4 linked regions of the Drosophila melanogaster genome follow. The protein of the gene in region 4 interacts with the protein of the main gene of each other region in a pairwise test. Each region holds a gene or a part of one and is shown on either strand. Other genes may lie near its edges. The genes, in order: AhcyL2, prc, chn and Tbc1d8-9.

Evidence for each region.
Region 1: the proteins of Tbc1d8-9 (region 4) and AhcyL2 interact in a two-hybrid assay, tested with the Drosophila melanogaster proteins (one large-scale study listed by BioGRID).
Region 2: the proteins of Tbc1d8-9 (region 4) and prc interact in a two-hybrid assay, tested with the Drosophila melanogaster proteins (one large-scale study listed by BioGRID).
Region 3: the proteins of Tbc1d8-9 (region 4) and chn interact in a two-hybrid assay, tested with the Drosophila melanogaster proteins (one large-scale study listed by BioGRID).

What each region holds. Positions count from the first base shown.
Region 1 is NT_033777.3:16,977,301-16,984,947, reverse strand, and holds AhcyL2 (adenosylhomocysteinase like 2), read left to right. Parts: upstream 1-2,789; 5' UTR 2,790-3,125; intron 3,126-3,248; 5' UTR 3,249-3,258; coding exon 3,259-3,309; intron 3,310-4,584; coding exon 4,585-4,654; intron 4,655-4,804; coding exon 4,805-5,471; intron 5,472-5,542; coding exon 5,543-5,861; intron 5,862-5,924; coding exon 5,925-6,168; intron 6,169-6,237; coding exon 6,238-6,401; 3' UTR 6,402-6,424; coding exon of another isoform or gene 6,425-6,431; 3' UTR 6,432-6,509; downstream 6,510-7,647. Other genes in the region: CG18622 (uncharacterized protein), read left to right, coding at 365-377, 853-1,124; Actn3 (alpha actinin 3), read left to right, coding at 7,329-7,446, 7,502-7,647. UniProt on the Drosophila melanogaster protein: Might play a role in the regulation of methionine metabolism.
Region 2 is NT_037436.4:11,959,184-11,968,263, reverse strand, and holds the start of prc (pericardin), read left to right. Parts: upstream 1-2,132; 5' UTR 2,133-2,211; intron 2,212-3,022; 5' UTR 3,023-3,086; coding exon 3,087-3,158; intron 3,159-3,400; coding exon 3,401-3,459; intron 3,460-3,525; coding exon 3,526-3,629; intron 3,630-3,691; coding exon 3,692-3,856; intron 3,857-3,912; coding exon 3,913-7,215; intron 7,216-7,269; coding exon 7,270-7,810; intron 7,811-7,874; coding exon 7,875-8,000; intron 8,001-8,370; coding exon 8,371-9,080. Other genes in the region: Muc68E (mucin 68E), read left to right, coding at 1-684.
Region 3 is NT_033778.4:15,113,178-15,119,558, forward strand, and holds the start of chn (charlatan), read left to right. Parts: upstream 1-2,283; 5' UTR 2,284-2,511; intron 2,512-6,381. UniProt on the Drosophila melanogaster protein: Probable transcription factor involved in the development of the adult pattern of macrochaetae. Required for accumulation of achaete (ac) and scute (sc) in proneural clusters.
Region 4 is NT_037436.4:21,337,150-21,346,331, reverse strand, and holds Tbc1d8-9 (TBC1 domain family member 8/9), read left to right. Parts: upstream 1-2,615; 5' UTR 2,616-2,712; coding exon 2,713-2,756; intron 2,757-3,234; coding exon 3,235-3,401; intron 3,402-3,879; coding exon 3,880-4,138; intron 4,139-4,195; coding exon 4,196-4,757; intron 4,758-4,816; coding exon 4,817-4,965; intron 4,966-5,040; coding exon 5,041-6,436; intron 6,437-6,500; coding exon 6,501-6,718; intron 6,719-6,776; coding exon 6,777-7,462; intron 7,463-7,519; coding exon 7,520-7,608; intron 7,609-7,673; coding exon 7,674-7,979; 3' UTR 7,980-8,182; downstream 8,183-9,182. Other genes in the region: ebd2 (earthbound 2), read left to right, coding at 257-1,294; CG32436 (uncharacterized protein), read right to left, coding at 1,670-2,224; Tsr1 ribosome assembly factor, read right to left, coding at 8,391-8,900, 8,957-9,182.

The sequences.
Region 1 (7,647 bases), on a different chromosome or scaffold from region 4:
CTATGCGAACTCTAGCCGGGTTAATGGAATATCAAATAAAATGTATTCATTATATGGAAAATTATAGCGACCAATTTATTCATTTGAGCGCTGGAAGGACAGGGTCAGCAACTTAGCCGCCGTGTTCCATTTTAATTTCAAATGTCGGGAAGTGTGAGCACTAATTGATCGTGTGCCTGGAATGCTAATTAGTTGGTCGTACTTCACCTAGAACGTTTGATTACTCAGAATTGTCCCGAAATGCAATAGCAAACATTTCATTTAATCGGTGTCTATATGAGCAGTATTATTCACTTAATTTATTCAATGATATTTTTTGTGCCATTTCAGGGTTTCGAATTGAACTAACTCCCAAAACGGCAGAATGACTGGATCAGGTGAGTATTTAAATTAAATCAATTAACTTTTCATCAGAGTGGATATAATACTTTGTAGACAGATCGCTTTCATATGGAAGCAATAATTTTAAAAATAGCTGTTTTACCACTTTCAATCGAAATGTCACGATCAGATTGACGCAATGCTCAAGAAAATTATTTATAGCATACTTATGGGTATATCAATTTAGCTATCTAATGTAGAATAGTTGTATACAAAGTTTTGTCAAATACTTTTTCGTTGATTAAAAAAAAAAAAAAATAAAATATATATATAACAAATAGCATTGCAAGTTTTTTCAAATCATTCTGTCTGTAAGGCAGAAATAATACAGAAGATTAAATACAGAAGATAATCATATATACGTATTGATGAATAGTTAAAACCCATTTAATTCACTGAAAAAAGAAAGTTTATGACCTTCTATTATTTTTCTAAATATCTAATCATCTTTTTCCTTTTTTCACCTCTTAGTGCACGATCCGAAATGGAGCCTGGAGCGCCGCGAGTCCTCTGGCCATTTGGTGTGGCGCAAGGACTCTCCGGAGTCGAAAGTCCGTTTTCGCTTCGACGTCGAGGTCCTGGAGTTCGAGAGGCATCCTCATGAGGAGCTGGATGACAAAGAGGATCACTTCTCGATGACCAATCTCTCGGCGACAGTGGCCATGTGCGCAACTTGTGTTGCCGTGGTGGCCGTCTCCGTGTTCCTGCCCTGGTATTTGATGGAGAAAGTGGGATCGCTTTAAAAAAAAAAAAAAAAACGGGCCTCAAGAGCCCGGCTTCTTGTATATAGGTACCCGGACGGTATTAAGTAGACTCTTGTACATAAGCAAGCGTAGTTTTAACTATTTGTATATAGTACGTACGTTGTATATAGGACCTGTGGTTTTTATAAGGATAGAGTTGGAAAAACTCTAGGTGCAATACGAGTGCGACAGTGACTGCTAAAGCCGAACTATGGAATGTGGATTGTATTTTAGGACGTGTACATTCTCATAATTTTAGTCCTATGAAAGATCGCAAAAATAGTTAATGGAATAAACGAAATACTTGCCCTTAGAAGTTGTATCTTTTGTTTTTGGGTCCCCAAAGGGTCGTATCTGGTGTATGCAATAAAAGGAGATTACAAGATCACGAGAATTCTCAACAGAAGCCGGTATAATAAATGTTTATCACGAACAATGCAGATACTACTCGGAATTGAAAGCAACCAATTAGACCTTCGAATGGACATTATGAACTGCTCAACCCCTGGAGCTCTGCACCAATTTAAGGTAACAATCATCCACCGCAGATGCTGCATCCCTTAACGAGCATCCCCTCGCAAGGACATGCGATGAGGGTTGATGGCGTAATCCCTGTTTCGGTGCCTTGATTAAAATTCTTCCCTCTTTATGGCCATGCTAAAAGCGCGCAGGCATTCAATAAAATTCACTGCTATCAAATCATTGGGCAACGATGGCTAAAAATGGCCGATTGGCACGTTGGAAAGTAAACTTTACGACCCACCCCTTGTAAACACCCAAACTACGTTGAAAAACTAATTGAAAAAACTAATTAGAAGAAAGAAGGTTCTAATGTTTGTTTACATTTTTTCATCTAATATGTGTTTAGCCAAAAAAAATTAAACTGAGTTTTAAAACATACCTCTTAATTTATATTTTCTCATGACTTGTCTTGAGATATGCAAACGCAAATTATTAAATATTTTTTGTGTGTGTTAAACATAGTTCCGAGAATGTTTTGTTTGTTGTTTTATAAGAGAAGGTCTCATAACATTTGCAGATATTGCTTATATGATACATTGCCGTTATAAAATTAATGATAATTACCTCACACTTTTTTTGTGAACCTTGATAAGAGTGACGTTTTTCTAGGGCTGAATTCCTTTTATTGGATCGCATCAAAAGGGCCAGAGTACTTAGCTTCCTATATTTGTGCCTGTGGCGATAAGAACCTACTCTGCTTAAATATTTCACATTTAATTTCAATTATGTCAAGCCTTTCAACTCGACTTAGAGTGCACTTCAACCTTAAGCTATGTAGGTGCCATAATGAAGTTCACTCATCCGAGTGGACACTTTGCCTACGTCAGAGCTTAAATTGATTTCCGTAATCTCCCGAGGAATACTGCATGGGGTGAAGTTGTGATTATGATAAGCGGACAAGAGGGATAAGGGGGGGGAAGGCGGCGGGCGCCGAGATAAGAGGCAGCGTCGTGATAAGATTCTCATAAATGTGGCGATCTTTTATTTGAACCGCTGCTGATACTCGCTCCGTGGACTTGTTGTGTTTTTGGTTTTTTCTTTTCCTATTCGCTTTTTACTTGCCGTATTTCTGTATTTCCACACGATCGTGCTGCCTCCCAATAAACCCGGTGCAGTGAGTCAGTGTGTTGTGTGCCCCAGTCGCGAGCGGACGATCCGTGGAGATCGCAGATTGCAGATCGCTCTAGATACAAATACATTAGGCAAACAGACCGGCAGCGGAATCGATCGATTGGCGATCTCGTTTGAATTCGAAACGCGGGACGATCTAGTCTGATCGGAGATCTCCAGCAGAACAGACGTTGTGCCTCCGCCGAAATATAGGAGATAACATATATAGGATATACATAGACTAGGTGACATCCAGCACTTGCACTGGATGATAAGAGTCGGTCTCTCAGCTGCATTGAACTTAAGAAGTCGGAATAAAACGCGACAAAGCCGAGCATACTTTATAACCTGTTTCGGATCCGTCTAAGTGTAAGTCTCCGAAGGTCGTTTGCTCGTTTTGAATAAGTTCTGACACTGAATAAGTTTGTTTGATTGTTTGTTTTTATTCGAACTGCTGGTTTACTTTTTGTTTTATTCTTTATCTGCTCGCAGCGCCTACAGAATGGCCAAAATGCCGGAGACAACGTTTGCCGACCTGAGTCTGGCTGATAAGGTAACTACATACATACATACATACATATAACCATGGGAGGAAACAGCATAGTGAATATTTATTAGCCACTTGAAGTTAGTAGGTGTGTTGGCCAGATTCCCACAACTGGTTTCAATCGCTGAACTTGGCGATTAATATAAAAACAGCACGTGACACTGCGACAACCAAACAAAGCGCCCAAAGACGTTCTCTGAACAATAAATTAAAGCGATACATTCACCTCGAAGCGTTTAATACCCTTGGTGAAAGTGATTGAGTAAAAAATTCAGTAAAGCAGCATTGATTAAAGCTGAACTAAATTATCACAGTTTTGAACTATGAACTTAACAAAACACATATTTAACATGGCCGCCATAAATCATGCTAGTAAATCTTACATTATTAGCTCTGCAGACTTTCAACATGTAATCAAATTATTGATCTGCTGGGGTCATGCGTAGATAGTGGAAAGGTATAATGTTGTAGATACAAGTGCATGTTTATTCCATATGGCCAGTGAAACGTAAACAACAATAGGCACAATAGGCCACGGTATACAGTCGTAGATTTCATTAACTCAACTGTTTACATACACTCCGGGAGGCCATAGACGTAGGTCTGGATTGTAGATCTATAGATCTATATTCGCGATTTCATATCTCTCGAAATCAATTGGCGCGACGAATTATCGCCGGTATGCTAAACGATGCCAATTAGTGACCAATGTATGCGAATGTATTTGCTTCGGCTTTTCTCTGCACTTAAATCTGGATTTAGCTGGAAACGACGCAAAAGTCGCGCCTTCAAATAGGTTTTCCATCAAGAATTAATCAATCCCAATAATACTCACATATGTGCGATTTTGCATGCTTTATATTCGATGGCAATTTGTTAATTGAAAAGTGCAATAAATTCATGGGTTTGTGAATCGAATCCATTACCCCTGATTACGCGGTATATTATACATATATACTAAGCCAAGGGAGTGGAATCAAATTCATTAGATGTGGGCAAATATATTTTGTAGTTATTAACACGAGAAGGTGATGCTAAAATATGCAAAAAACACCTGATTATAGATAAAATAGAATAAGTCTATTGTATTATTTTCTCCCTTTTGTATAACATGATTTATGTTAATTCGAAAGAGTCTATCTTTTAGTTTGTTAGATATTATTATACGCGCGATTAAACAAAGCAATTTGCGGGTCTCCAGATGAAAATGTTAACAAAGCTTATCCCACATAAATATTTAAATTGCATTTAACTTTATTATTATTATTTTTTATACAATAGACTGCTGTGAAGAAGTCAAGTATTGAAGCTCGGCGGTTTTCTGATGTGTCCACCTGCTCATTCAGTTCCAGTAAGTACTATAACTATGACTAAGATGTAATGTAAAGCATTATTTTACATGATCTATCTATAATGAAGCATAAAGGATATCATTGTTTTCCATTTCAATATTCTCTCTTGCGATTGAACTCACTTAATGGTCACTTGATCTCTTTGTTAGCCTGTTTCACCGGAAGCTCCGACGAGGAAGACGTCTCCCCGAAGGACAACCATCAGCGCAACTCCGCCGGAGGCACTGACTTTTGCGTGAAGAGCATCTCGAAGAGTGCATTTGGAAGGCGGGAGATCGAGATCGCCGAGTCGGAGATGCCGGGCATCATGACTCTGAGGAAAAGAGCGAAGGATGAGAAGCCCCTAAAGGGTGCCAATATCGTCGGATGCACCCACGTCAATGCTCAGTCGGCAGTGCTGATCGAGACCCTCGTCCAACTGGGCGCCACAGTTCGCTGGGCTGCCTGCAACATTTATTCCACACAAAACGCAGTTGCCGCCGCTCTGGCAGAGGCGGGAATTCCGATCTTCGCCTGGCGCGGAGAGACGGAGGAGGAGTTCTGGTGGTGCTTGGACAGGGCCATCTACTCCGACGGCTGGCAGCCGAACCTAATCCTGGACGACGGCGGCGATGCCACGCACCTTATGCTCAAGAAGTACCCCGACTACTTCAAGGCCATTCGGGGCATCGTGGAGGAAAGTGTGACCGGGGTGCACCGGCTGTACATGCTGTCAAAGGGCGGAAAACTTACTGTTCCGGCCATCAACGTTAACGACTCAGTGACCAAGAACAAGTTTGATACTTTCTACACGTGTCGTGACTCCATCCTGGACAGGTGAGCATAGATACTCATGATTAAGGAAGAGTACTATCTCTGACTGGTCCTTTCTAATAATTCTCTTCCAGTCTGAAACGCACCACGGATATAATGTTTGGCGGAAAGCAGGTGGTGATCTGTGGGTACGGTGATGTGGGAAAGGGCTGTGCCCAGTCCCTGAAGGGCCAAGGATGCATTGTTTATGTTACGGAAGTGGATCCCATATGTGCTCTACAAGCTGCCATGGATGGATTCCGGGTGGTACGGCTCAACGAGGTCATCAGGACGGTGGATGTGGTGGTTACGGCAACTGGAAACAAAAATGTTATTACCAGGGATCACATGAATCGCATGAAGAATGGTTGTATCCTCTGCAATATGGGACATTCCTGCTCGGAGATTGATGTGGTATGTATTCGGGGTGATTCCATTGTGGCCTTCATATATCAAAAGGTTTTTAACCCACTTTAGAATGGCTTGCATACCCCGGAGCTAACGTGGGAGCGTGTCCGTTCTCAAGTGGATCACATCAGGTGGCCGGACGGCAGGATGATCATTTTGCTCGCCGAGGGAAGACTGGTGAATTTGTCCTGTTCCACCATTTCGTCCTTTGTCGTATCCGTGGCCTCATCCACCCAGGCTTTGGCCCTGATTGAACTCTTCTCAGCGCCAGGAAGATATAAGTCGGATGTCTACCTGCTGCCAAAGAAAATGGGTAGGTTCTTAGTTAAAATAGCTAAGGAAATCTTTGGACAATTTAAATTAATTTAATGAATACTTTCAGATGAATACGTGGCCAGTTTGCATCTCGCCACCTTCGATGCTCATCTCACGGAGCTCACGGATGAGCAGTCCAAGTTTATGGGCTTAAACAAGGCCGGGCCTTTTAAAGCCAATTACTACAGGTTGGTTACCCTTCTTTCCCTTTCAATTTTGCACTCTAGTTAATAATATACTTATTTCATTTGCAGATATTAATCAGTATTTAATGCTTTATCCCGTTATTCTCGTTCTGTAATTTTGATATTATTTAGAAAATATATGAAAATACATTTTAACATAAATGGTTTTAATTTGGGAGCATACAAGTCACTGTTTTCTTACAACACATCATATTTTAAATTTTTCATTTTGATTTCAGAGAAATACCAATTGCTTGGTGCTACCCGAAGTTAAAATTCTCTTCGTTTTAAATACATTTTAAATAATTATTTGAAAATTTAATTGTAGGTATTACTCCTAAATTAAAATTATTAAATATTTAACATTATTATAATTATTATAATTGTCTTATCAGTCTCAATTGGTTCAAGTCCATTCCAATTAGGCAAATTTAACTTACAAATTCTGTAAAATGTAGCATTATGGTTCGTGTTTTGGCTAAAGCCAATTTTACACATACTTATTCGATTCCAATATAATACAAAAATTCTACGTGGAAGTTTCTACACGTCTCAGTATATCTACATGGGACTTACATATCAGTAAGTATATCATAATATATGATATATATAATCAGTAAATTATAAAATAATCATAAAATAATAGGAACCAAAAAGTATTTTTCGAAAAACATTAAAGCTGAATTAAGATGCTAGTACTGACCAGTCAGACATTGTAAGTCTATTTACAATACCTTTAAAATTCTCAGTAGCTATATTTTGAAATGTCAAATTGGGATAGAAATTGTATGATTTTTAACTTGACCACACAATAACACACTTGATCACACTTTCGTTCACTTAATTATCACTGGCCATGGGTTCGTTATTAAAGGAGCTCGTATGCCAGATAAAAGAAATACAGTCCGATTTGAAGAATGACACCCATGTAGGTGCGACTAACGGGGAATGGAGCCGAAAAGAAGTTCGCAAAATGAAGATTTGTTTAGGGAAGGTAATTCTTTTCACAAGGTCCTTGAGGGAGACATTTGCGGAAAGTCAAGAGTCCGGGAATCAAGAACAATCCTCGAAGGCTTTAGTTCTGTTACGATGTAAGTTAATCTTTCAAAGTGAAATTATTATATAAATACGTATATTTTTGAGTAGGTACTCGGTACATTAAGCGCTTGTCTATGGTCCTGACACTACTTGAGACTGAAGAAGGCTTAAATAAAGTGAATAAAACGCTCTTCCAACTGGACGTTGATACAATTCTTTTTGAACTGGAGTGTATTGTCAAGGAGGCCTTGAAA
Region 2 (9,080 bases), 9.4 Mb from region 4:
CCGGGAGAAAACAGTACTGCAGGACAAGTTTCTACAAGTACCACGCTAGTATACGATACCACGAGTAGTCCAATTCCATCTTCCTCAAGATCCACAACCTTAGAACCCTCATCAAGTTCTTCCCCTGAAACCACAACTTCAAGTCTACCACCATTGTCTTGCAGTACCGGGTATCAATATTTACCCCATCCAACAAATTGTCATAAATATATTCACTGCAGCAACGGGCATGAACTAATTATGGAGTGCCCAGCTAATCTTTATTGGGACTATCATAAATTTGTTTGCAGTGGAGATTCAGGTGTTTGCTACAACGACACTGAAAATTCCAATCCAGAGGAGAAGGTTTGCGGACCTGGAGTGGATTTCCTTGCACATCCAACGGACTGCACCATGTATTTGCAGTGTAGTAATGGCGTGGCATTGGAGCGCAAGTGTCCAGATCCGCTGTATTGGAACCCGGAGATAAAGTCATGTGATTGGTCCAATAAATATTGCACAAATCTTCGGGCGAGTCAATCGATTTCTTGCGCAGCGGGCATGAATTTTAACGTTTTTCAAAGCGATTGCTCCAAATATGTCAAGTGTTTTGGCCTGAGAGGTGTTGTAATGAGCTGTAATTCAGGACTTTACTGGAATCCCGTTAGTCAAGTTTGCGAAAAGTCCCGGCGATTCTGCACATAAGAGTAAGTCCAATTAAAGTAGACAAAATTTTAATAAATAACATGCGGACACTTTTTTTCAGGAGCAGTGCAACGGCATTATTCATTGGACAATATTTACCTAAGAAATGAATAAAAAGATTGCGAATTATTAAAAATTTATTTATACTGTGGAAATTACAAATCGATTAATTAAAGTTAGCAAAATTATTAATATAATGAAACAGAAACTGAATGTTAAATTCCTATTGTTGTATATAAAAAAAAAAAAACACATTCAATCGCATTTTTATTTCACTGGGGTTTTTTTTTTAGATGATCTAAATAGATATTTTTGGATGCATGCAAATTTATTTCAATAGACTGAGACACTTTGGTAATGAACTACCCTATTGTTATAGAAACAAAAGGTAGTCTCAAATTCATCTCAAGGTGTTACAAAAAATTGGTCTCAATATAAATTCTTATTACGATGTAATAAAAATTTCATAGCACTTTATTCCCATTAAAATTGGAAAACAAGGTTAAAGATATTTTTAAGTGCAATTGTATCTAGTAAAATAAGTAATGGGTACACTGTAGCCGGATTATTTGCTTTCCACAGTTCCTAGGCCTTTTTCGTAGATCTTATCAATCTAGGTTTCAATTAAAAATATTACTAGCCTTGAAACACACCCCATACAGACGATGGGTATTCAAAAATTGAAAATTTAATGCTTCAGTTCAATTTAACACATGGTTTCATAGAAGCTCTTAGCAGATAAGGGTATAAAGCCGAATTCAACATTGAATGGGGGCTGGTAGAGACTGCTCTATATATAGATATGACGATGGGTAGTCTAAACAGAAAGCGAAAGCAAATAGTTAGTCTCAAAGGTTATCTGATTAAATTACTTCCGCCAATTTTTGATTTGTAGAAATAAATAAGTGGCTTGGGAAATCCAAAGCCCAATCGATAAAGCCTTCGCCAGATGCAAAGAGAGCACATACAAGTCAAGTGAATGAGTGTGGGCAGGGACACACTTGAAATGTATCCAAGAGATACACAATTGCGTATCTTTATATGCTAATAAATGCCAGTACATTTCCCTAAAATGGGTCAAAAGAGTCCCCCATCCGTTGGCATAGACTACGATGTTGTAATGCCCATAGAAACTCATTTGTCGAGGGGGACGTCAACGCGCCGCCCCTTCCATCGGCAGGCCAAGCCAGACCAAGTGATCGATTGACACGATCAAAGCGCTGATACGTAATGGAATAGACACTCGAATGAATAGCACTGGCGACGAGCTCCCAGCTCGGGCTCCAAGTGCCCTGATCCGCCTCACAGATACCAGCACTCTGCGCTGGTGTGGATCCTACATAAATATTCATGCTGGCCAAATGCAAATGTATTGGAAATTGCTCGCCTTCAATGAATTTGAGTTCTGCTCAAGCTCTAGAGTTTTGATGCTCGTACAGGGCAGCGTTATTCGCAATCCAGCAGTTGTCGCGATCGGAAGCAAATCGGAAAATCTCCATTGGATTCCTAGAACACGCAGCCGAAAAAGTATGTGCCTAGGATGTGTGCCCTCGCAGCAAGGACATAGAGCAAAAACAGCTCTCAAATACAAGGGATTAGTGAAGAAATAAGATAACAAAACATCCTATTAATTGTGCATTACGAAACGGATTACAACTTGTAGAGTTTTATTTGATAAAATTTAAATGTGAATTTCTATATGCAGTGAAATTGAAATCAACCAAAATACAGGACCTTATATCATTAGTAAATGGTCAAAAAGAACAATAAGTGTGTAAATTATAATGTGTGCAAACTAAGAATCTTGTACTAATCGAATCATTGACAACATCTAAACACAATTATGTGAAGATTAAATTTTCTTCCCAAATTTATTAAATATTTCTATATTCAAATATAAATATGTACATTCTGTAACAATTCATATTCGCCAGGATAATCACACAATTATCCTTTCGAAGTGTAAAGTGCTTATGTGACTTTCTTGTATTTTTTACATATAAAAATCAAAATAAAGATGTGAAAAGCGAAAGATATCAAAAAGGATATGTACATATGTATGATTTCAGACTACAAATTCAAACACGTTTGTGTCAAGAACTAAAATTCGAAACTTACATTAATCAGCCTTAGCGATTACATCACTCGCAAGACTGAAATATAACTCAAGATCGATTGCCTTTTTTTTGGCATCTAATAGCACAGCGTGCGTGCTCATTTTAAAGAAAAGTGATAACCTCTGAAAGTGACGGACAAGAAACACAGAGAAGGAGTATAAACTAATAATAACACGCATCTATATGGTGTATTGATAATACAATTCAATTTCATCTTACAGTTTGCTGGTTGTGTTGCCGCGACGTCGACGCCTTTCAATTGGATTCAGGGTTTAATTTATTGAAATGTTGCCCTTTCGCTTGGGCCTGCTACTTGGCGCCGTGCTATTCGTGGCAAGCGCAAATGGAGCTGCCATCGTAAGTTTCCGAATTGTTAATGAATCTCCCCGAGAATTGTTGCTTCTCTGTGTGTGTTGAATGGAACTAGAGTAGTGTAATGTAAATGAACTCGGTTCGAAAAGTAGGCGATAAGACATAATTTGACCAAGGTCAGTTTCTTACAAGCAGCATCTAATCGGGCACACTTGCACAGACCCTTTGAATGAATAAAGATTAGACTGACATTAGCATTGAATTTAAATCGATGTATTAACTTTCAGGAAAATGAGGTTTCTAGTCTGAACGACTTGCAGCGGGAAAAGAGAAGCGGCAGAGGCTAGTAAGTAGTTGGTTAACAACTATTTTGGACCAGATGGGCTTACTTCCTTTCCATGTTTATCCGCAGTTCGAGGGGACAAACCCAGTCTCAGTACTTAAATTTCGGTAAGCCTGAGGAGGATGGAAAGGCTGAGGCAGAGGCTACCGAAAATGGATCTCGCTCCACTGTGTGTGAGTACGGGTCAGATGAGATTCATTAGCACTTTGTCCATTGACCTCTTGACCTCTTTCAGCTGGCACCCATGGAATGGGTCAGGCTCAGAGCCAGTTCTCATCAGGGGACTGCAATGGATGTTCTGGCTACCAAACGGATTACCCTTCTTCAGGCAGAATTCTTGATGCTAGTGGATCCGGAGGCATCGGTAGACCCGATTCCATTATAAGCTTACCCGGAGGTGGTAAGTCGTATATAATCAAAATGTATACAGTTTGATATATGTTGCTCTCCCTGAAGTTGGCGGACAAACCGGAGCTGGACAAGCCGGATACGGAAGCCAACTTGGAGTTGGCGCTCAGGCCGGTGCCGGACAACCCGGATACGGTGACCAACCTGGAGTTGGCACTCAACCTGGAGTCGGACAGCCCGGATACGGAAGCCAACCTGGTATTGGCGGACAGACTGGAGCCGGACAGCCCGGATACGGAAGCCAACCTGGTATTGGCGGACAGACTGGAGCCGGACAGCCCGGATATGGAAGCCAACCTGTGGTTGGAGCTCAGACCGGAACCGGACAACCCGGATACGGTGCTCAACCTGGAGTTGGCACTCAGACTGGAGCCGGACAGCCCGGATACGGAAGCCAACCTGGTATTGGCGGACAGACTGGAGCCAGACAGCCCGGATATGTAACCCAACCTGGAGTTGGAGCTCAGACCGGAATCGGACAACCCGGATACGGTGCCCAACCAGGTATTCTTGGACAGACTGGAGCCGGACAGCCCGGATACGGCAGCCAGCCTGGTATTGGCGGACAGACTGGAGCCGGACAGCCCGGATATGGAACCCAACCTGGAGTTGGAGCTCAGACCGGAACCGGACAACCCGGATACGGTGCCCAACCTGGAGTTGGCACTCAGACTGGAGCCGGACAGCCCGGATACGGCAGCCAGCCTGGTATTGGCGGACAGACTGGAGCCGGACAGCCCGGATATGGAACCCAACCTGGAGTTGGAGCTCAGACCGGAGCCGGACAACCCGGATACGGTGCCCAACCTGGTGTTGGCGCTCAGACTGGAGCCGGACAGCCCGGATACGGAAGCCAACCTGGTATTGGCGGACAGACTGGAGCCGGACAGCCCGGATACGGAAGCCAACCTGGTATTGGCGGACAAACTGGAGCCAGACAGCCCGGATATGGAAGCCAACCTGGGGTTGGAGCTCAGACCGGAGCCGGACAACCCGGATACGGTGCCCAACCTGGTGTTGGCGCTCAGACTGGAGCCGGACAGCCCGGATACGGAAGCCAACCTGGTATTGGCGGACAGACTGGAGCCGGACAGCCCGGATATGGAAGCCAACCTGGGGTTGGAGCTCAGACCGGAGCCGGACAACCCGGATACGGTGCCCAACCTGGAGTTGGCGCTCAGACTGGAGCCGGACAGCCCGGATACGGCAGCCAGCCTGGTATTGGCGGACAGACTGGAGCCGGACAGCCCGGATATGGAACCCAACCTGGAGTTGGAGCTCAGACCGGAACCGGACAACCCGGATACGGTGCCCAACCTGGAGTTGGCACTCAGACTGGAGCCGGACAGCCCGGATACGGAAGCCAACCTGGTATTGGCGGACAGACTGGAGCCGGACAGCCCGGATATGGAACCCAACCTGGAGTTGGAGCTCAGACCGGAACCGGACAACCCGGATACGGTGCCCAACCTGGAGTTGGCACTCAGACTGGAGCCGGACAGCCCGGATACGGAAGCCAACCCGGATATGGAACCCAACCTGGAGTTGGAGCTCAGACCGGAACCGGACAACCCGGATACGGTGCCCAACCTGGAGTTGGCGGACAGACTGGAGCCGGACAGCCCGGATATGGAACCCAACCTGGTATTGGTGGACAGACTGGAGCCGGACAGCCCGGATACGGCAGCCAGCCTGGTATTGGCGGACAGACCGGTGGCGGACAACCCGGATACGGAAGCCAAATTGGCGGACAGACTGGAGCTGGACAGCCCAGCTATGGAAGCCAACCTGGAGTTGGAGCTCAGAATGGAGCCGGACAACCCGGATACGGTACCCAACCTGTTATTGGTGGACAGACTGGAGCCGGACAACCTGGATATGGAGGTCAAACTGGAGTCGGTGGATCGCCTGGATTTTTAACTCAGCCAGGTATTGGGGGTATAAGCGGACCGATTGGAGGGAAACTCGGTGGCGGACAATCAGAAGCCGCAAAACCTGGATATTGGGCTCAACCTGGAATTGGCGGACCATCCAGATACGGCAGTCAACCTGGAATTGGTGATCAGACCGGAACCGGACAGTCAGGATACGGCGGGCAGCCTGGAATTAGCGGACAGACCGGAGGCGGACAACCAGGATACGGAGGACAGGCTACAATAAGCGGACTCCCTGGGTATGGCACTCAGCCAGGAATTGGAGCACTAACCGCTGTTCCTGGCGGACATTATGGATACGAAACTCAGCCTGGAATTGGTGGACAGACCGGAACCAACCAACCCGGATTCGGTGGTCAACCTGGAATTGGCGGACAGACTGGAGCCGGCCAACCTGGATATGGATTTATAGGTCAGCCTGGTATTGGAGGGCAAACAGGAACTAGTGGAAGGCAACCCGGTTACGGAACCCAACCAGGAATTGGCGGACAGACTGCAGCCGGACAGCCCGGATATGGAAGCCAAACCGGAGTTGGCGGACAGATCGGAGCCGGACAGCCCGGATATGGAAGCCAACCTGGAATTGGCGGACAGACTGGAGCCGGACAACCCGGATACGGTGCCCAACCAGGTTTTGGAGGACAACCCGGATACGGAAACCAACCTGGAGTTGGCGGACAGACTGGTGCCGGACAGCCCGGATATGGAAGCCAACCTGGAATTGGCGGACAGACCGGAGCCGGACAACCCGGATACGGTGCCCAACCAGGTTTTGGAGGACAACTCGGATACGGAAACCAACCTGGAGTTGGCGGACAGACTGGAGCCGGACAGCCCGGATATGGAAGCCAACCTGGAGTTGGCGGACAGACTGGAGCTGGACAACCCGGATACGGTGTCATACCTGGATTTGGAGGACAACCTGGAATAGGCGGACAGACCGCCGCTGGAAAGCCCGGATACGGTGGTCAACCTGGAATTGGTGGATCACCTGTGTATGGAACACAGCAAGGAACTGGAGGTCAATCAGGAATTAGCGGTGGCCAACCCGGGTACGGAACTCAACCTGGACAAACCGGAGCCGGGCAACCCGGATACGGAAGCTTACCTGGAACAGGTGGTCAGGCCACAGCTGGCCAACCCGGATACGGACCCGGATCTCAACCCGGAATTGGCGGACAGACAGTTGGTGGGCACGGTGGATACGGTAGCCAACCCGGAATCGGTGGAGCGCCAGTTTATGGAACACAGCCAGGAGGTGGCGGCCAAACTGGAGTCATTGGAGGGCAGCCCGGACAGATCGGAGACAGAGTAGGACAACCAGGATACGGAACCCAGACAGGACAAATTGGGGCACCAGGTCGATATACAGATGGAAGTCAAACTGTACCTGGTGCTGTTGGCACCGGTGGAGTTGGTAAGTAGCTATCAAGGCGGTGGAAAACAATGTTTTGAATTGCTCGTTTCCCAGTTGCTGCCGGTACCAGCGGAGCTGACGATGCCTTCTCCCAAGCCGAGTCATCAATTGGCGACGGACAAGCGTCGGCAAGTGCTCAGGGCAAGAAGAATGGAGGCACGGCCAAGACTCAGGTGTCGGGAACTTACAGCTCCGGCGGAACCTTTAGCGCCAGTGCAATGACGTCCGATGCTGATCGTGCGGCCAGTGCACAGGTTACCGGAAATGCTGATGGAGCCGTGAGTCAGTCTCAGGGATCGGGAGGTCCTGCCCAGTCGCAGGCCCAGGTACAGGTTGCCAAGGACGGCGGCACCAAGGCCTCGTCGCAGAGCGGTGGCATCATCCAACAGAGCCAGAGCGAGGTTCACGCCAATGACAAGGGCGGCCTGGCGGACGCCCAATCGAGCGGACCCGGACAAACCTCCTCCCAGGCCCAGATCGGTTTCCGACCCGGCCAGGAGGCCAATCCTATAGCAGCTAATGGTGGCGGCCAGGCATCGTCCTCATCTGGCACTCATTCCAGTCAGAGTAGCTCGCAGATTCACGGAACATCGAGGTAACATTGCTATAGGATTATTGATTATTGACTTTAGCCACTCATTATTGGTTTTGTATTTCAGCTTTGGTGTTTCTTACCATGGTGCTGCACAATCCGCGTCGGGAACCAAAGAGCAGGTTGCTACTTACAGGGAAGCAAACAGGGAACTCTTCAATACCATCAGTCAGTTTGGCAACAACGCAAATGCGTAAGTAATCGGAAAAGTGAAGAAAGAAAGAAAAACATGTTTTGGGCTATTTAAAAAAAGGGATAACGTATGCTTCTGTGGTTTTTAAATTGGCAAAATATGTTCAAAATTGATTTCGAAAAGTCACACACTTTAGCTCAATCAATTTATTGTGATTTTATAACTGCCATGCCTTTATGGAATTCTTTAGCATAAAACGTATTCATTTTTGTATACTTTTTGAGGTTATTTATGTTGGATACATAAACGAATAAATCCTTTAAAATTTCTAACTACTTTTGCTTACTTACTTTTCAAATGGGAAGTGCGTGCCTCTGTAAAATTTATACGATTGTATTTTATTTTCTTTTCTTTAACTTTCAACTTCCAGTGTTACTGATCGAGCTGATGCTGTCTACAGTGGACCCGCGCTTACTGATGAGTCCGACAGGGTGCCAGAGGCGCAACTGAAGTCCACCAAGCCCAAGGAGGAAGCGGAGCAGGTAGTGAGTAAGCTAGACCACCCGGAGCCCGTTCAGTACGATGATGAAGATGAGGCCGATCCTGATGAATACGATGAGGATGAGTACTATGAGGAGAAGCCAGTGAAGCTAGAGGAATCCCCAAAGTCGTCCACCATAGTGGCACCAACCGAGGCAACACCTAGGCCCAAGACCTACAACCAGTCATCACCCACGCAAAGCCAACAGACAGTCGTGGTGCCGGTGCCGGGTGAAAAGTATCAGGTGGTGCAAAAGCAGAACGGTAAAGCCACCATCAATGCAGAGCCCTCGACCACCGAGGCCATACCACCGGGATTCCGAGGAACCGTAAATGTGGAAAAGAAGTTCCACACCAAGGCCCTGGAGCTGCACGCTCCCAAAGGAGTAGAGATCACACCCGACACCAGCGACGAGGGTCCGGTCCGGGGTGACAAGCCGCTACGGCGTGCTCCTGATAGCTACGTCACCGTCACCAAGTCAGTGACAGGCAGCATGGACAACACAAAGAACCCACCGCAGGAGAACAAGAACTTCCAGTCGACCTATTACACCAAGTCCTCGACCTGCGGCTATTTCACCTTCTCTTGCAACATTGTCT
Region 3 (6,381 bases), on a different chromosome or scaffold from region 4:
ATCTATGTATCTATGCATCCGCATCTGTGCATTTGTATCTGCATCTGCACTTGCTCCTGTCGCCCAGTCCTTTCATATTTATTCGTTTTCATTGCGTTTTCATTGTGGCTCGGACTTTGGCTTTGGGTCTCATTCGTTTTTAATTAAATGCATAAACCAAAAAGCCCGTTTGCCGTCAAATGTTGGACACAAAAATCATTTTTGCCAACCAGCAAAATACAGCAAAGCGGCCCAAAAGGGCCATAGTTTTATTTTTCATGTACCTTTTATTTTTCCCAGCTCTGGAGACAAATTACTGGGGGGAAATGCTCCTCGGCACAACCATTATGAATTGTTTTTAATTGCATTGAATTTGCTTTCGGTGAAAATGCGGCAAATATCCACAAAAATCGAGGCCATCTGTGGAAAAAAGGCAACACGAAAAACCGAACAAAAAATTAAACAGTTAAGTAGGAAAAATGCAAGAAAAAAGAAAAACGCTCTTGTTGTTGGTGACGTTGATTAAAAACTTTTCGAGACAGTTGACGTTGCAGAAAATTCTCAAAAATGGAGATGAAAAATCCTGTATTTTGGTGTGTGTGTGTGTGTGTTTTTGTTTGCGTGTGTGAGTGCAGCTGAAGAGGCAACTGTAAAATTAGGTTAGCAAAGGAGTTTTGGGGTCTGTGGTGTGGGCTATGGGTTATATGGCTGACTATGTGGTCACATGTGCAATTTGATTAAAACTTGGGTGCCGCTAAAAAAAACTGCTGTCCTCAAGTGACGGAAAAAGTGGACGAAAAAATGACGAAAATCTAAAAATGAACGTCGTCATGGCTAAGTGGTAGCCATTTTTTACCTGCAATCGTTTTGCCACTCGACTGAATGGTTTTGCGGCTAGGGCAAAAACATAAAATCCGCGAAAATTAATTAAAGATTGCGCACCTTACGCTAATCTGTTTTAATGAAATTCCCTTTTATGTTTTTTCTTGGCCTTTAAAGTGGAGTGGGTCATCCTACAGATGAATAAATCCTATTTTTTGTCTGCAATGTTCTCTTTCAATGTATCATGTCAGTACTATTTAATTAGTATTTTATTATTAATGTATTATGCAAAGCTGCTGGCCTTCTTAAAATAAGTAGTACATTGTACTAATAAACCAAGATTATAATATTTTATATATCGAGGATTAAAACAGTTTTTGTTTGGCAGCTTTTTGGCAAAAAATTATAAATACGAGTGAGCATTTTAAAAACATTTTACAAATTGACAGAGTTGGCATGACTAAGCATTGTACATGGCTATAATCCAGTGAATATGTTTATTGATCAAATAAAATTAATCAAATAACCGTATGTAGAATTCTAGGTGGTAACTTAAACTCTACAAGTGTAGCAATTCGGAAAGCAGCTCCAAAATAGTTCGCAATGGGTTAGTGACACAGCTAATATTAGAAGGTAGTAATCGTGTATGATGTAATGTAAAATTATTGTAAAATGGAACCGGAAATGTAATTTTTAAGGAGGATTGCAAATGAAATTCAATTTCAATAGCATTCTATGTAATGGAAATTCTTTTAAGCTTAACAAATGAAAGCTTAACAAATAAGAAAATTGGTCTTTAAAAATCATATGTTGTTGTTTAATTAGTCAAATAATAAATTCAACTATTATTATACTTACAGATAATTAAAAAAAATAAATAACTTAAGAGATTTTTTGCTGTGGCCTTTTTTCCGCGCTGAATACAATTAATTCGATGTTTTCGGATGTTTTCGGCGCGACTATCGATAATACCCCGATACTGACAAATAAAAAATAAATTATTTTTTTATTTTAATATACTCTTTCTTAATTTAAGTCAATTAATAAGTCTATTTATATATTAGAATCGTTTTTTTAGCTTAGTGACAAAGTTTTGCCGGAGAGTCCACTTGTTATGCGTGGGAGCGTGAGCGTTGCGGAATGCGCGCGCTTTTTGCAATTGTGGAAAGCGGAAAAGCGGAGGGGTGTCAGAAGAAGAAGCAGGGCGGCGCAGACAGGAAGCTTTTCCCACAATTGCACAACGTCGGAGAGGTATTATTATTACGCGACAGGCAATCGGCGCGGCAACAACAGCAAACTAAGCAACGCATCGCAGACGCAAAAACAAAACTAAATATTACAACATATTTACTTGGCCCAATAGGGGGAGGGACGGGAAATTTTCCGCCCAACCCATCAGCCACCCCAAAAGAGTGGGTGGCGGAGAATCGCCGTAGGATCCGCTCCTCCGCGACCATTCATATTCATTCAGTCACGAAATCTCATTCGGTGTGTGAGTGTTGATGAGGTTAGTTGTGAAACGCGGTCCGTTCTCGTTAAGTCGGAAAACCGAAAAGTGCATCAAGGAAATCATTTAACAAATCAGTGAAGTAAATTAATTTCCAGCTGCAAAGGAGAAACACAAACCTACTAAACAGTGTGCCGCGCGAAAAGAGGCGAAAAAGTGTTGCATACTCCGGGGCTGGCTGCAAAACCTCCGCTAACATGTTGGTAAGTTGGTGAATAAAATATTTTAAAACAAATCGGATCAGAGTAGCATGGAGTATCTATTAATTGATTTTCCTGGGAGGGGGGGCCTTTCCATATCTATTTTCCAAGCCAAGTGATTTATTGATTTTTCCGCAATGCGTTTGTGTGTGTGTGTGCGTATCTTTTTCGGTATGCACTTTTTCCAGAGAAACATCCCACTGGGGGCAGCAACCCCCAACTAAAAAGCGCCAACTTCTATTTTTCCTTCATCAATACTTCACACAAACACACACACGCACACAGTGGAATAAAAACAAATGGTATTGGTGTGTGGATTGGAGCAGGCGCTCTATGCAACGGTATAGCAACCCCCAAACAATGCACAACCCACCCTCTTTCTCGCTCTCGTTATGGCTTTGAAGGGTATTACTATCCCGCTCTCGCGACAATAGCTCAACTGTTTTGGCATTTGAAAACTAACTGCCGCCCCCATCCCCCCGCACCCACCTATCGTAACCCCCTTAGTTTCTCGCTCCTGGGTGGGTGGTTGTTTTTCACAGCCGGAGCACATCATAAATTTTGTGTCTATAACAATTTTTGTTATATTCAACCACCCCACCCACCTACCCACCACCCCAAAAAGCGACCCACACCCCTTATCAAAAAAGTGCAAAGGAATTGTGTTGCACTTTCGAGAGTTCAACTTCCGTTCGTTCACTCTCGCGCTCTCTGGGAAAATAGAAAATAACGGCACAGGCTTGCGCTCTCTCCAAAGAGAGAGATGCATTTTCATTTCGATTCGATGGGGGGTTTTGCATATGATTTTTTGGGGTTTCGGTTTTTATGCAACATATGCGACTACATATGTATGCATATGTATGTAGGAGTTATATAATTTGTATTTGATTATTTTGCCTTTGACGAATTCCGTTTGTGGCATGGTGTTTTCAAATGAAAACTAAAAATGTGTGGTTTTTTGTTGCCATGGGCAATATGGTGAAAATTTGTGGGTGGCAATGTCTGCTGCAGAATGCAAATAACTGCATTCGAGTGCTTTATATATATATTTATATATATAAGATTATATTCCCACGCACATATTTTATACATTTATATATTATATGGAAAATGCAATTTGTATGCAGTCGAATTGCACTTGCCCGGGATTATGCCTATATAAATAAATACTATGTACGGGGTAGGGGGATACCGGCAACGGAATTTCGTTTCATGGCGTCTCCATGGATTATATATAGAAATTAGTTGTGTTTTTGAAGCTGCTTACATAGACTGACAGCTTAATTGCTTTTTACTCGTCGACAAAAATTGATTTTAAGCTCGAGTTAAACGAAGCCAAGCACTGGAAAATGCCTAGAATGCAACGCATATTCCTTTAGATTGGAAAGTAAAGGGGTGGAAAACGGAAGCAGACTATAAGACAAAGTTAAGCAAGTTCGTTAAGCAATAACAACTAAGTGAGTTCGTTAACCCAACAATACATGACAGCATTGTTGAAAACTTTGACTAAAATTGGAAATCATTATATTAGCGATCACTTTCTTTTATTTCCAAAAGAACCTTATGTACTTTTTGAACTTGATTCTTTGGTAGTCACTACATAACATGAAAAAAGCGTAGCGATCATTTGATTTTATTCTTAGCCGCAAACTGACTATTTCCTGTTGACTTCATTTCATTCACACTCCCCACGCTGATGATGATGATTGAAAAAATCACCCAGGGGCCAAGACCCAGTGACTCACCCGACCGCAAGGCAAGCCAAGCGGAGACTGTACCCAACCCAATGCTCAAAACAAACCCAGTCTCGAAAACGCACACACACACACACACACTACCCACCCACTCAGACAAAGTGGATTCGAGTTGGGAGTTCGGAGGGAGTTGCGCATGCGTGGCCGTGTCCCACGCCCACTCGTCAAGGGGTGTCTCCACATAGGAAAAACATTTACGGAAATCTAAAGATTTGCTCTTTGAAATTATGTTAGAACTCACTTGATCTATAGGAAGTCACAACTAGTACTACATTTTCATTGTTTGAATCCTATATCAACGGGATATAACAACATATAGGCAACGTATTATAACAAATGCCTACATAGACAGTATGCAAATTTGTACCAATAATGTCCCCTCTTTTTTCTCTGTGCATGTTGGATGTGAGATAGTGTACGTATATAAAGGGTTGGAGCGAACTATACAGTGGGAACCAGTGATCGCACAACCACCCCCGGGGTTCCCAAGTTAAATGAGACGTGACAAAGTGCAAGAGTTTCGACCCCTTTGAGAAGTGCCAGGCAGATTTCCTCTTCACAAGTGGCGCCCAAAATGGGAAGCCCTATTCCAGCGAGGAGACTTTCTCCCAACTGCAAAACCGAAGAAGGGCTTCGTCTTCAGGGGCAACAGGTTTTGCTGGCCGTAGGAAGCCATGTGCTGCTGTAATTGGTCAGGCTCATTACGGGGATCGTTGGTTATATCACAGCTTGCACCGGGCCAAGGATGGACTAACGGGTCCACCCAGGCCCAGTGAGCACTGCCTCCGAAAGAACCTCTCAGGGGGATTCGAGGTGGCCCACATGTTGTCCACTGACGGCTGCTCACGAACCGGTTCCAGTCACCAGGCAGCTCCTTTATCCGCGATCATCATCATCTCCATTTCCATCACCACCATCATCATCATCTCCTTGGCCGGCCACTTCCACTTGAGTGGCAATGAAGGCAAAGTAGGGTGCTCAGGCTGCTCCATTTCGAGGGTTAACCTGTTTGCAGTTACCCTACGGTTGAGGTATGTGGGTTTCAGTGCACCTTTCGGTAACTACTTGATTTCGGGAAATACGCTTATGTCTTTCATTTTAAATCTTTAAAGAGCAGTCATGTGTACATATTGACTACTGAACTTAATTTTAACAAATGAAATAATATTTCATATATTATGATTACTTCATGAAGGAACTTAAAAACTACTTCCGAATGATAGGGCATTTCCAGGTCTGTCTGGCCGAATAGACATTATGCATCTTCTTCACCTCATGACACCATATGCATTTTTGCAGCCACACATCGCTGGCGTTCTTCCTTTTGCGGGGGATATATGTACATGTATGTGCATAAATGAGTAGTGCGATCAAAATCAGCGTCATCGCAACCTGCAAACCTGCAGTAACAACAACTTGGCGACCAAGATGCACTAGAGTCCATTGATTGCCTGTAACTTTCAATTTCATTGAATTGATGCAGTTGTCGTTGTTGTTGCACTGGGAGTTCCCCATTTACATATGAGTCATGCATATAGTAGATATAGGCAAGGCAACAGTATCAGAGATAGTGCAAATTTATAGGCCAGCCAACCAAAGGTTGAATGGCAAGTCTTGAACCCGAAATCGAAATCGAATGCGGCTAAAAATCAGCCCACGCCGAAAATCGGCGGGATATGCCGCCACCCAATCGAGGCTGCCATGTGGGTGAATTTGTTTATAAATACAGTGAAACTCCGAAAGTATGAACCGTACACTTATCAGTTATGTGCAAAGTTTAACTGAAAAATCAAAATTAAATCTCTAAAAAATGATTTTAAAACCGAATCGAAGGGTTCGTTTTCACTACAAATGTATTCAATTAGTAAAATGACGGGTTATGGGAGTTCGACTGTGGCTTCGTCATGTGTCTACCTGGACCATGTATCGCACGAGTTACCACCCCACCCCCTAAACCCCCACGCCTCTAAACAAATCATCGGACACTCAACCGGGAAGACGGCAACTGGAACACCGCATCCGGCCGAATGCTGACATTCCGGCCGAATGCTGACATTACACAAAAGTCGCACTGCAACATTGTCCCCAGCTAGCCAGCCACATGCCGAGTCGGCATGTT
Region 4 (9,182 bases):
TAAAAATGTACAAATTCTATAGAGCTTATTGGAAAAGAAATATACGTATATATATATATACGACACTGAGAGAAAAAATTACTTATCCGCCCAGTAACACTTCTGCATGGAAATTTTCGACAGGATATAAGAGGTGGTCAACAAATGTGGCTTGTACCCTAATAGTTGCAGATATCTAATAATTTATTAAATTGCTTAAAATATATTTAATACTAATCTTAGGTTAATCTTATACTCTTCCCTCTCTATATTTTAGATCAAATCCCGTCGCAATGAGCGTAACATCCTGACATTCTACGAAAAGATTGCCGTAATCCGTTACTATGACGAGACCAACATCTCTAGGAACAGTCTGGCCAAGATGTTCCACTGCTGCGCCACCCAAATACGTAGAATCTTGGATAAGAAAAAGGATCTGCTGCAGCAGTTGGCCACCTTAAGCGAGGCAGATGCCTCCATTATAATCGAAGAGATGACGCGCAAGCGCCGCAAGTTCGAAATGAGTGCCATCAGCTTCCTACTACACGAGTGGGTGGAAAGGTGCATCCAAATGCAGTTGAACATCAGCATAAGGAACCAAAAACTGAAGGAAACCGCCATCCGGATGGCAGCTGTGTTGAACCTGCCATCCTTCAGACCATCCTATCGATGGCTAAGCCGATTCCGCAACAAGTACAAGTACGAGGCCGATGAATTGGGCTACCAGGGCGAAAATCCCTTGAACCAGGACCTGCCTGTCGAAGACATCATTGTGGAGTTTAAGCATGCACTGCCGAACTTCATGCAACGGGAGCTGGATAATCCAGGCGAAGCAATCTCAAAAGCAGCTGTTATGGCAGATTTTGTCAATCTCTCCAGCGAAAACAGTATCATGTCCGATCATCCAGAGGGGGATAATGAAGTGGAGCTGGTAACATGTGAGCCCACCATGATGTCCTCACCATCCAGCACACCAGATGCTGCAGAGGGGGAAATACCTCTGCAGGCACATGGCGACCAGGAAAACCCGGATGATCAGATTAACGCTGGAACCAGTACTCTTCTGAATGGGGTTTTTCCGCATCTAGCCATTATCCACCAGTTCGCTCTGATGAACTCGGATGTACAGGCATTGGAACTTATCTCCCAGCTGGGAGTGCACATGCAGCAACAGGCTGTTTCTGGAGCTTATCATAACCTGTCGCTGGCGACTACCGATGGAGATGGGCAAGACGATCCAGGAGAAATCGCTCTTTCGGAACTGCCACCGGGAAGTATTTACGCCGATATCGATGACATCGAATTGATCGAGTAAAAACATCAATTTATCAAAAGGTTAAAGCTAGTCTAAACTTATGCCTCAGCGTAGTCGACTGTTATTTATAATCAACAAATCGTTTTGTTATGAACTTAAATGAGTTCATTTCACCAAAAAAGTACTTAAGGCCTTCGACTTTTATTAAGATTAATTCTTAAAACAACAACAATAAGAGATCTACTTCATAATTTAGTTTAAATCAAATTCGATTTGATTGATTAAAAGGTTAATAAACCAGAATTGCTTATTATGATCATGTTAAAATTTAATAATCCGCAGATAATTTGGAAATGGTGGTAATTTGGGATACGTAGTTTATACGAATCGAGAAATATTGTCTATACCAAGTTTATAAGCTATATCTAAACATACCATGCGTTTGTCCGGAATAATTATCATATCAGAACTGCATTCTGGAGTGGCTAGTTGTGGCTTGACCTCGCCCTCCTCCTCTTCCTCGCCCTCCTCCGCCTGTTGTTCCTCCTCGCCCATGTCCATGGGACTGTTGAGGACGACGAGATCTTTGGGACATGGCCTATCGACCCTGGCGTCGTGCTCGACGAGTCCAAAGTCCTTGCGCGCGGCCAGAATTCGCTCTCGCATCTCGGCATGGGTCTTTAGCTCCGCTGGAGTTCGTTGTGGCACGATGCACATGGTTAAATCGTCGTAGAGGTCACATTTCTTTTTATAGGGCTTTGTGAAGCGGGATTCCTCCGCCTTGTGGTGGATGCGACGCAGCTCATCCTCGATGGTTAGCACTTGGGAGATCGTGGAGTTGGGTGGCTTTTTCTGACAGACGCGATCGCGGGGCGGACAGTTCTCCGCCTTCCATTCCGGCGACGTTTCGTTGCCCAGAAAGGTACGAATCTCATAGGGATTGTTAGAGGGACTGCACTCGGCGTTCACTTCCACGAATTTTTTCAACATTTTTGCAAAACACTGACGATTTTGCAGGAGTTGAGAATAAAACTAGTAATTTTGTAGCACGACACGTTCGTTGGGCTTTGAACTTGTTATATAAATGAGAGGTTTCAGTTTCGATTTAAAGCTAAAGGCTAACTATGTAATTTATATGGTAACTTTGCGTAATATTAAACTGTTAATAATGAACATTTTCTGTTTCTCTATTCGGCTTCTAAAAGCCAACAAGTTTTTAAATTGGAGAGAACATATTTCGCTTAATTGAAGTTAAGATACAGATTCATATTCTTAGGTTTAACTAAACGTTAACTATTTGATTCAAAAATCGGACGCAGAGTGCACCCATTCACAATAGATTGCTTAGTTCTTTGTGCGTTTTGTGCTTTCCAGCCAACGGGCACACTTGCCACAAAAACAGCAATCAGCGCTCGATGCAGAATTAAACAAAGAGTAATTTTGTATTTAGAGCCTGGCACGGGCTAAGAACAATCAAAATGTGGATTCAGCCCAAGGAGCTGCTGCTTCCCTCGGCATTTTGGTGAGTTATAGCCCAAGTCCGCAGCCGAATCGAAGGATTGCCGAAAATCCAAATTAAACACGGCTGCATGGGTGTGTGGGTGAATTGGAATGGACGGCATGTGTATATGCAATGTTATGTTTATGGAAGACATCTCATGGAATGCGATTATCGCGAAGTGCAGGCGGAATGGGGAGCCGCCGATCACGTATTTGGATTAGGCACAAACGTCGTACTTGCAGCTAGCTAGTTGAAATGCATTTGTTGATAACTAATTGAGCCAAAAGTTCAAGACTCCAACTCTTCAGATCGCTGGTTCTGATTTCGAAACGCAAAAAGTGCCAGCTGTGTAAAGTCAGCTTGAAAATTGATTTCCAACTGTTTCCTGCTGCGTAGAAAAGTGCAGACACCGCCCTCTAGAAAATAGCCCCCGTTAAGTGGGGCCCTCCCCCCTTGATAAGCCGACTCTAAAGGTGAACACCATAATTTTCGCCCACAGGATTGCCGAGATGCACTCGAGATACTTTGTCCTGCAGAAGAGACGTGGCCATGGGGAATCACGCGGATTCGGTTCCATGTTGGTGGGCACCTACGACAGCGTGATGAACACCAAACCGGCACCCTATCGCATCCTCCACCAGACGCCCTCGTCGGAGGTGTCTTACGGTAGGTCCAATATCTCAGACTCATCCGCTCTATCAGTTCCAGTACCTCGGGTCTATTTCGTATGTCCAGCAATCGGTGACCGTGAATCATCGGGCTTTGACTCGCATTTATGGGAGTATGCCAATATTTCTTTCATCTACGGTTCCCTCGGCGCTTACGTAAACATGGAACGGAGCTGATTACAAAAGCTGCGGAGGCTGGATCGTTCCTTTTGTTATTCAATTTATATTATATTAAGAAAAGAAGGCAACTGACGGAGTAGGGTACTTGAAAACCAGGCATTTTCATCTCAACATGCGCAAGGCGCTGAAATGCGTGTTATCCTAAAGTTTAGTAAAAAATGTTTAAACTAATTTTTGGTATCTTACTGTGCCTGTAGAATAATTAATTCCATATCCATATTGTGCTGATATGGTTTTTAAGTCGTGTTCTATAGATAAAAATATAAAAAAGATTAACAAGAATCTATTCCCTACAGAAATCGCCATTGGCATTACCCAGGATGAGATTGTTAAGGATTGGGAATGGCTGAAAGCTAATCTCTTTAAAGTGCTGGACGAGATGGAGAACGAGGACGAGGTGACCAACTTTACCATATGCAAGATCCAATCTTTGTACACGCAAAACAATCAAGATGACACTGGCGAATCGGCCGATTTCAAGGTTATGAAATCAAAGTTTAGACAGATTTTCAAAATGCCCGAGGAAGAGCGATTAGTTATCTCTTATTCGGCCACGTAAGCATATGTTCAGTATACATTAAAGGTCCATATTTACTGAATATTGAATTCCAGTTATGTAAAAAACAAGATACCAAGGCAGGGTCAGCTATACATTTCGCTAAACCACGTCTGCTTTTACTCCTACATGCTGGGTCAAGAGATCAAGCGTATTATACGCTTCGCAGAGCTGGAAGACATCAGCCGAAATGCGAATACCATCTATCTAAAAACCACCAATAACATGACCTACAACTTTACAATGCTCTTCAACGCCAGCGATGCACACTTATTGATTGAGCAGCTCAACAAAATGGCCATACAGCAGCTAATCCATGATCCAGATAGTCCTGTGGTCGACCACGATACTTCTAATTTCTCACGGTTGGGTTCCAAAACGTCCAAGAAACCAGTTCTACTGCGGGATTTGACAGCTCGCCAAAAGTCCGAGGAGTTTCGTATTTACTTTCGATTGCCACAATCGGAAATAATTGACGGAAAGATTAAGGCCAATATCTGGACACCTTACTCAAAACGATTTAATTCGGGCTTTATCTACTTATCGCCGAATTTCTTTTGTTTTCGTAGCGATGTAAAGGATTTGGTCAGCGTGGTTATACCCATGAAGACCATAAAGGTTCGCAGACCATAAATGTACTCGATTTCGATAAGTTTTAATTATTGTTTGCACTCTAGAGCGTTGAAAAGAAGGATGATGGCCAGCAACGTTTCGAAAACCAAATTGTAATTATAACATCGGAGAATGTGCCTTTCATGTTTGCTCATATCGTGGACAGAGCTGTGTTGATCTCCAAGATCACAGACCTTCTGGCTCGAGTTCATGTGTAAGTGTTAGATTAAAAATCTATGTTGCTATACTTACATGTATATATTGATCCTAACCATATTATTTAACGCAGTCCTTTGAGTCGCGAACGCGCTAAGTACGACATTTCGTGGAGCAAGCAGACCGCTCTGATGAACACATTCAAGACACAGTTCAGCGCAGAGATCATACAGAAGCAGGAGGAAAAGATGGTGCGCTGGGAGGCGCATTTCCGGGACTTCGGACGGGGCATTGGAATGTTCCGCACAACGGACGTGATAAATCTAATAGTGGAGGGTATTCCTGACAAACTGCGCCAGGAGATCTGGCTGATATTCTCGGGGGCAATCCACGACAAGGAGATGAATCCCGGACTGTACGAGGATCTCGTAGAGAAGGCGGCTTGCATAAAGAACTGCTTTGCCCACGATGAAATTGATCGGGACTTGCCGCGTTCGCTGCCCGAGCATCCGGCATTTCAAAGCACCGATGGCATAGGTGCTCTGCGGAGAGTCCTTCAGGCCTATGCGCTGCGGAATCCACAAGTGGGCTACTGTCAGGCCATGAATATTGTGTCGTCGGTGTTCCTGCTCTTCTGTGATGAGGAGAACGCATTCTGGATGCTGGCCAGCCTGTGCGAGAACTTACTACCGGACTACTACAAGGATAAAGTGGTGGGCGCCCAAATCGATCAGGGTGTGCTTAATGAGCTAGTGGAGACGCATTTGCCTGATTTGCACGGCCATCTGGAGCAGTTGGGTGTGATTAAGATGATTTCCATTTCCTGGTTCCTTACCATCTTCATGAGCGTGATCAGCTACGAGAGCTCGCTGCACATCCTGGACTGCTTCTTCTACGAGGGCGCCAAGATCATTTTTATGATTTCACTGCAGATCATTGAATGGAACAGGGACAAACTGTTGATCTGCCAAGATGATGGCGAAGCCATGCTAGTTTTGCAGAACTACCTGGAGGGAGTCTACAATCCAGAGTACCAGGTGCCTCCTACGACGGACAAACGGAAGATGGAGCGTAAAGTCCAAACACAAACAGTTCAGACCCTGATCCATGAGGCATACACAAAGTTCGGTGAGGATATCACACAGCAGCGCATCGAGGAGTTACGCAACAAGCATCGCCGGTTAACGATGCGACAGTTCGATATCGACAACGAGAAGACCATTGTCAAGGCTTACGTCCAGAATCCGTATTTCAACCGCAGTGAACTGCATATGCTGCTCACTATCATCCGGGAGGAAAAGCACGCCCTTAAATCCCTGCAACAGCAGCAGCAGAAGGTTCAATGCCCGTTGTCTGAGACTCCCCAGCTGGTCCCTCAGTCGACAAGCAGACCGATCCAAGATGCCGGCGCCTCCGGAGGCAGATACGAGGCTTACAGTGTCAGCTATGAGGTATTCCACACACTTTTTACGGAACTGACACCCTGGCGTAAGTGCGTCAGCGTGGACATTGGCGAAAAATTGTTTAGGGTATGTTAATGATCTTGGAATAAGAATTGGCATGAATCTATATGTCTCTGTTTTCGTTTTCCAGCTTACTGATAAGAAGGGAACTGGTGTTCTCGACTTCGGACAGCTCATCAATGCATTGGGCCTGGTCTGTTCCAACAAGAACATGGAGAAGCTGAAACTCCTCTACGTTTTACATCTTCCGCCCCTATTGTCCAAAGCGGAGATTGAACGATCACGTCGCCCGCGCCCACGCACAAAAGATGATGCCGAGGAGGCTTTCGAGGCGGAGGATTTCTTTGAGTGAGTGTTTTCTGAGGCCCAAACTATAACGAACTAAAACCATGCATTTCTTATTTAGTAATGACGCCTCCGAGTCGATGGAAGCGTTGCCCTCGCCCTCGGATCACAATTTTGATGCCGATGACTTTGCCCTGATTAGTGCCACCCAGCATCTGCACAACCTGGCCGGAATCTCGGGAAACACATTTATGGACCTGTCACGCACTCCCAATCTGTCGGTGAACTCTAACACCTCCTCGTTGGCGCATCGCAGCTCAACCTTCTATGTGGACCTGCCGGGATTCCAGGGTACTGCCACATCCACAGATGCTGGGCGGGACGAAGACGAACTCCAGCGACAGCTTCGCCAGCAGGGCCGTTACGAATCGATTGACACATTTTCGGATATTTCAGATCTGGGAGCGGCACGCATTACGCCGCCCGAAGCGGGAGTGGGAGCTGATGTGGTAGCCGGAGCAGCCTCGTCTGCGGCCGCTGATCACATGCTTCTCAATGTCGAGACTATATCGAATTTCTCACAGATCAGCGACCTTGTTGCGGCCACACGTCTAGAACGTGTTGACTCGAATGCCACGGACTTGCGAAGCTTGGGCAGTCTTGGCTATCTGCTGGACCAGCCGGACGAAGGCGCTTCAAATTCGCAACACAGCATTCCCCACATGCGTAAGGAGAATTTTCAGCTGTTGTGGCGCAGTATCATAGAGATCATGGGTCTGGTCCAGGATGAAGAGATGCAAAGGGCTTGTAAGTATAGCCTTTAAAACGTGAAAGTACCATTCAAAACTATTGTTCATTTTTTAGATGAGAATCTCTTGGAGCTTGGAAACAGCAATATTAAAAAGGAGCCCAGCCTGGAGAGCTTTACCCAGCTAAATATGGGTGGCGATGAGGTATGACTTGCTTTGTCTTTTCAAAGATTCCCAACAATCAAAACAAAACTAAATTTTTCTTTCAGCAACCGGATAGCAATGGCAATCCCACCACTCCTGCACCAGAACCCATTGGCACTACCCGTCTATTTGTGGCTCTAGAAGAGGAGCTTCGTCAGGCGAGCGGAAAGTCCAGGACCACAACAACAAGCAGTGGGGACAGCAGCAGCACTAACATCTCCGAATCCTGGCACATATCTATTACCCAGTTTATCGCCACGGTTCTGACTGTCAACAGCATTGTAAGAGGTTTCCAAACACCAATCCAAATAAGCGAACAGATCGAGCAATTGCAAAAGAAGCGTCGCAAGTGTCTGTCCACCAATTACTGAATAATCATAGTCCCATCCCTGCCCTATGTCCTGTCCCCCCACAAAACTGTATTAGCCATATTCTATGAGAACCTGACCGATTCTTTATCCTTGTGCAATGCGACAAGCTTTTAAACGTATCCATGTTATATGTATGTATATTGTATTGCCTCTACCATTAAGTTAAGACAATTGTTTGTGAATATAATTCTATTATTCCTATTATACAACGCAGTCACATATAAAAAATTATCGATGCGGGATTTTTGTGTACATATTTTATGTACTTTTCGGGTGACATTTCCCGAATGGACACTTCGTAGGTTTCATACTTTTAGAGGTTTAAATGTAACAACAATAATATAAACTCATTTCAGAAGTTATTCGCACTGTCCATCGATCACTTATTTATCCATCCATTTGCACACACCTCTACTCTTCCATGGCCACTTGCTGCGAGCTCCTCCTGTTTGCCGACGCATGTTGTCGCTCGTGCTCCGCCGTTCGCACCAGACACTCTTCGTAGGTCCATTTGGGGAAGACTCTCTTGTACAGGTACATGAAAGCAGTGTCGTAGGATCGCAACTGCCCATCAAAGTAGCACTTCATGTGGCCGTGCGTGCCCAGTGACTCCTTAATGTGTCCCAGCCGTCCGCACTTGGTTCTTAGTTTCACAGGCTTGAAGTACTCCACATCCTCCTTGTAGAAGAACATGTAGCGAATAGAAGCCGACTTGCGATTGATACGCATGGGATGACCGCTGAGAACAACGCGCTTGAGAACAATACGATCTGGATTGCAGGACAGCAGGCGTCCACGGGCAACCAGCGCCAGGGTGGAGTCGGGATTCACCTTGAAGGCCAGCACGGGTGCCGGAGGGAACTGAATCGGTGCGTAAAACGTGGCGCAAACTGTTTCGTACGGACGGAAGTAGCGTTCGAACTGGATAAACATAATCCATTAATAAATAGTCAATTACAAATTAGTCCAAATATTACCTTATGCTTATCCCCATTGGTGTGCTGACTGTAAATGGGATTCACAACAAAGCGACGATAGCCGCACTGGATTATCAATTGTTCTTTAGACTTCAGCGGCACCTCCGAGTCGGGCATTCGCTGCAGTACCACGTTCATTACGCACATCTGGTGCTCATGGGGTAGCATTCCATATACAATAATGTTGTCCATAAGCTGGGCGGACTTGAAGGCATTCCAGCGGCTC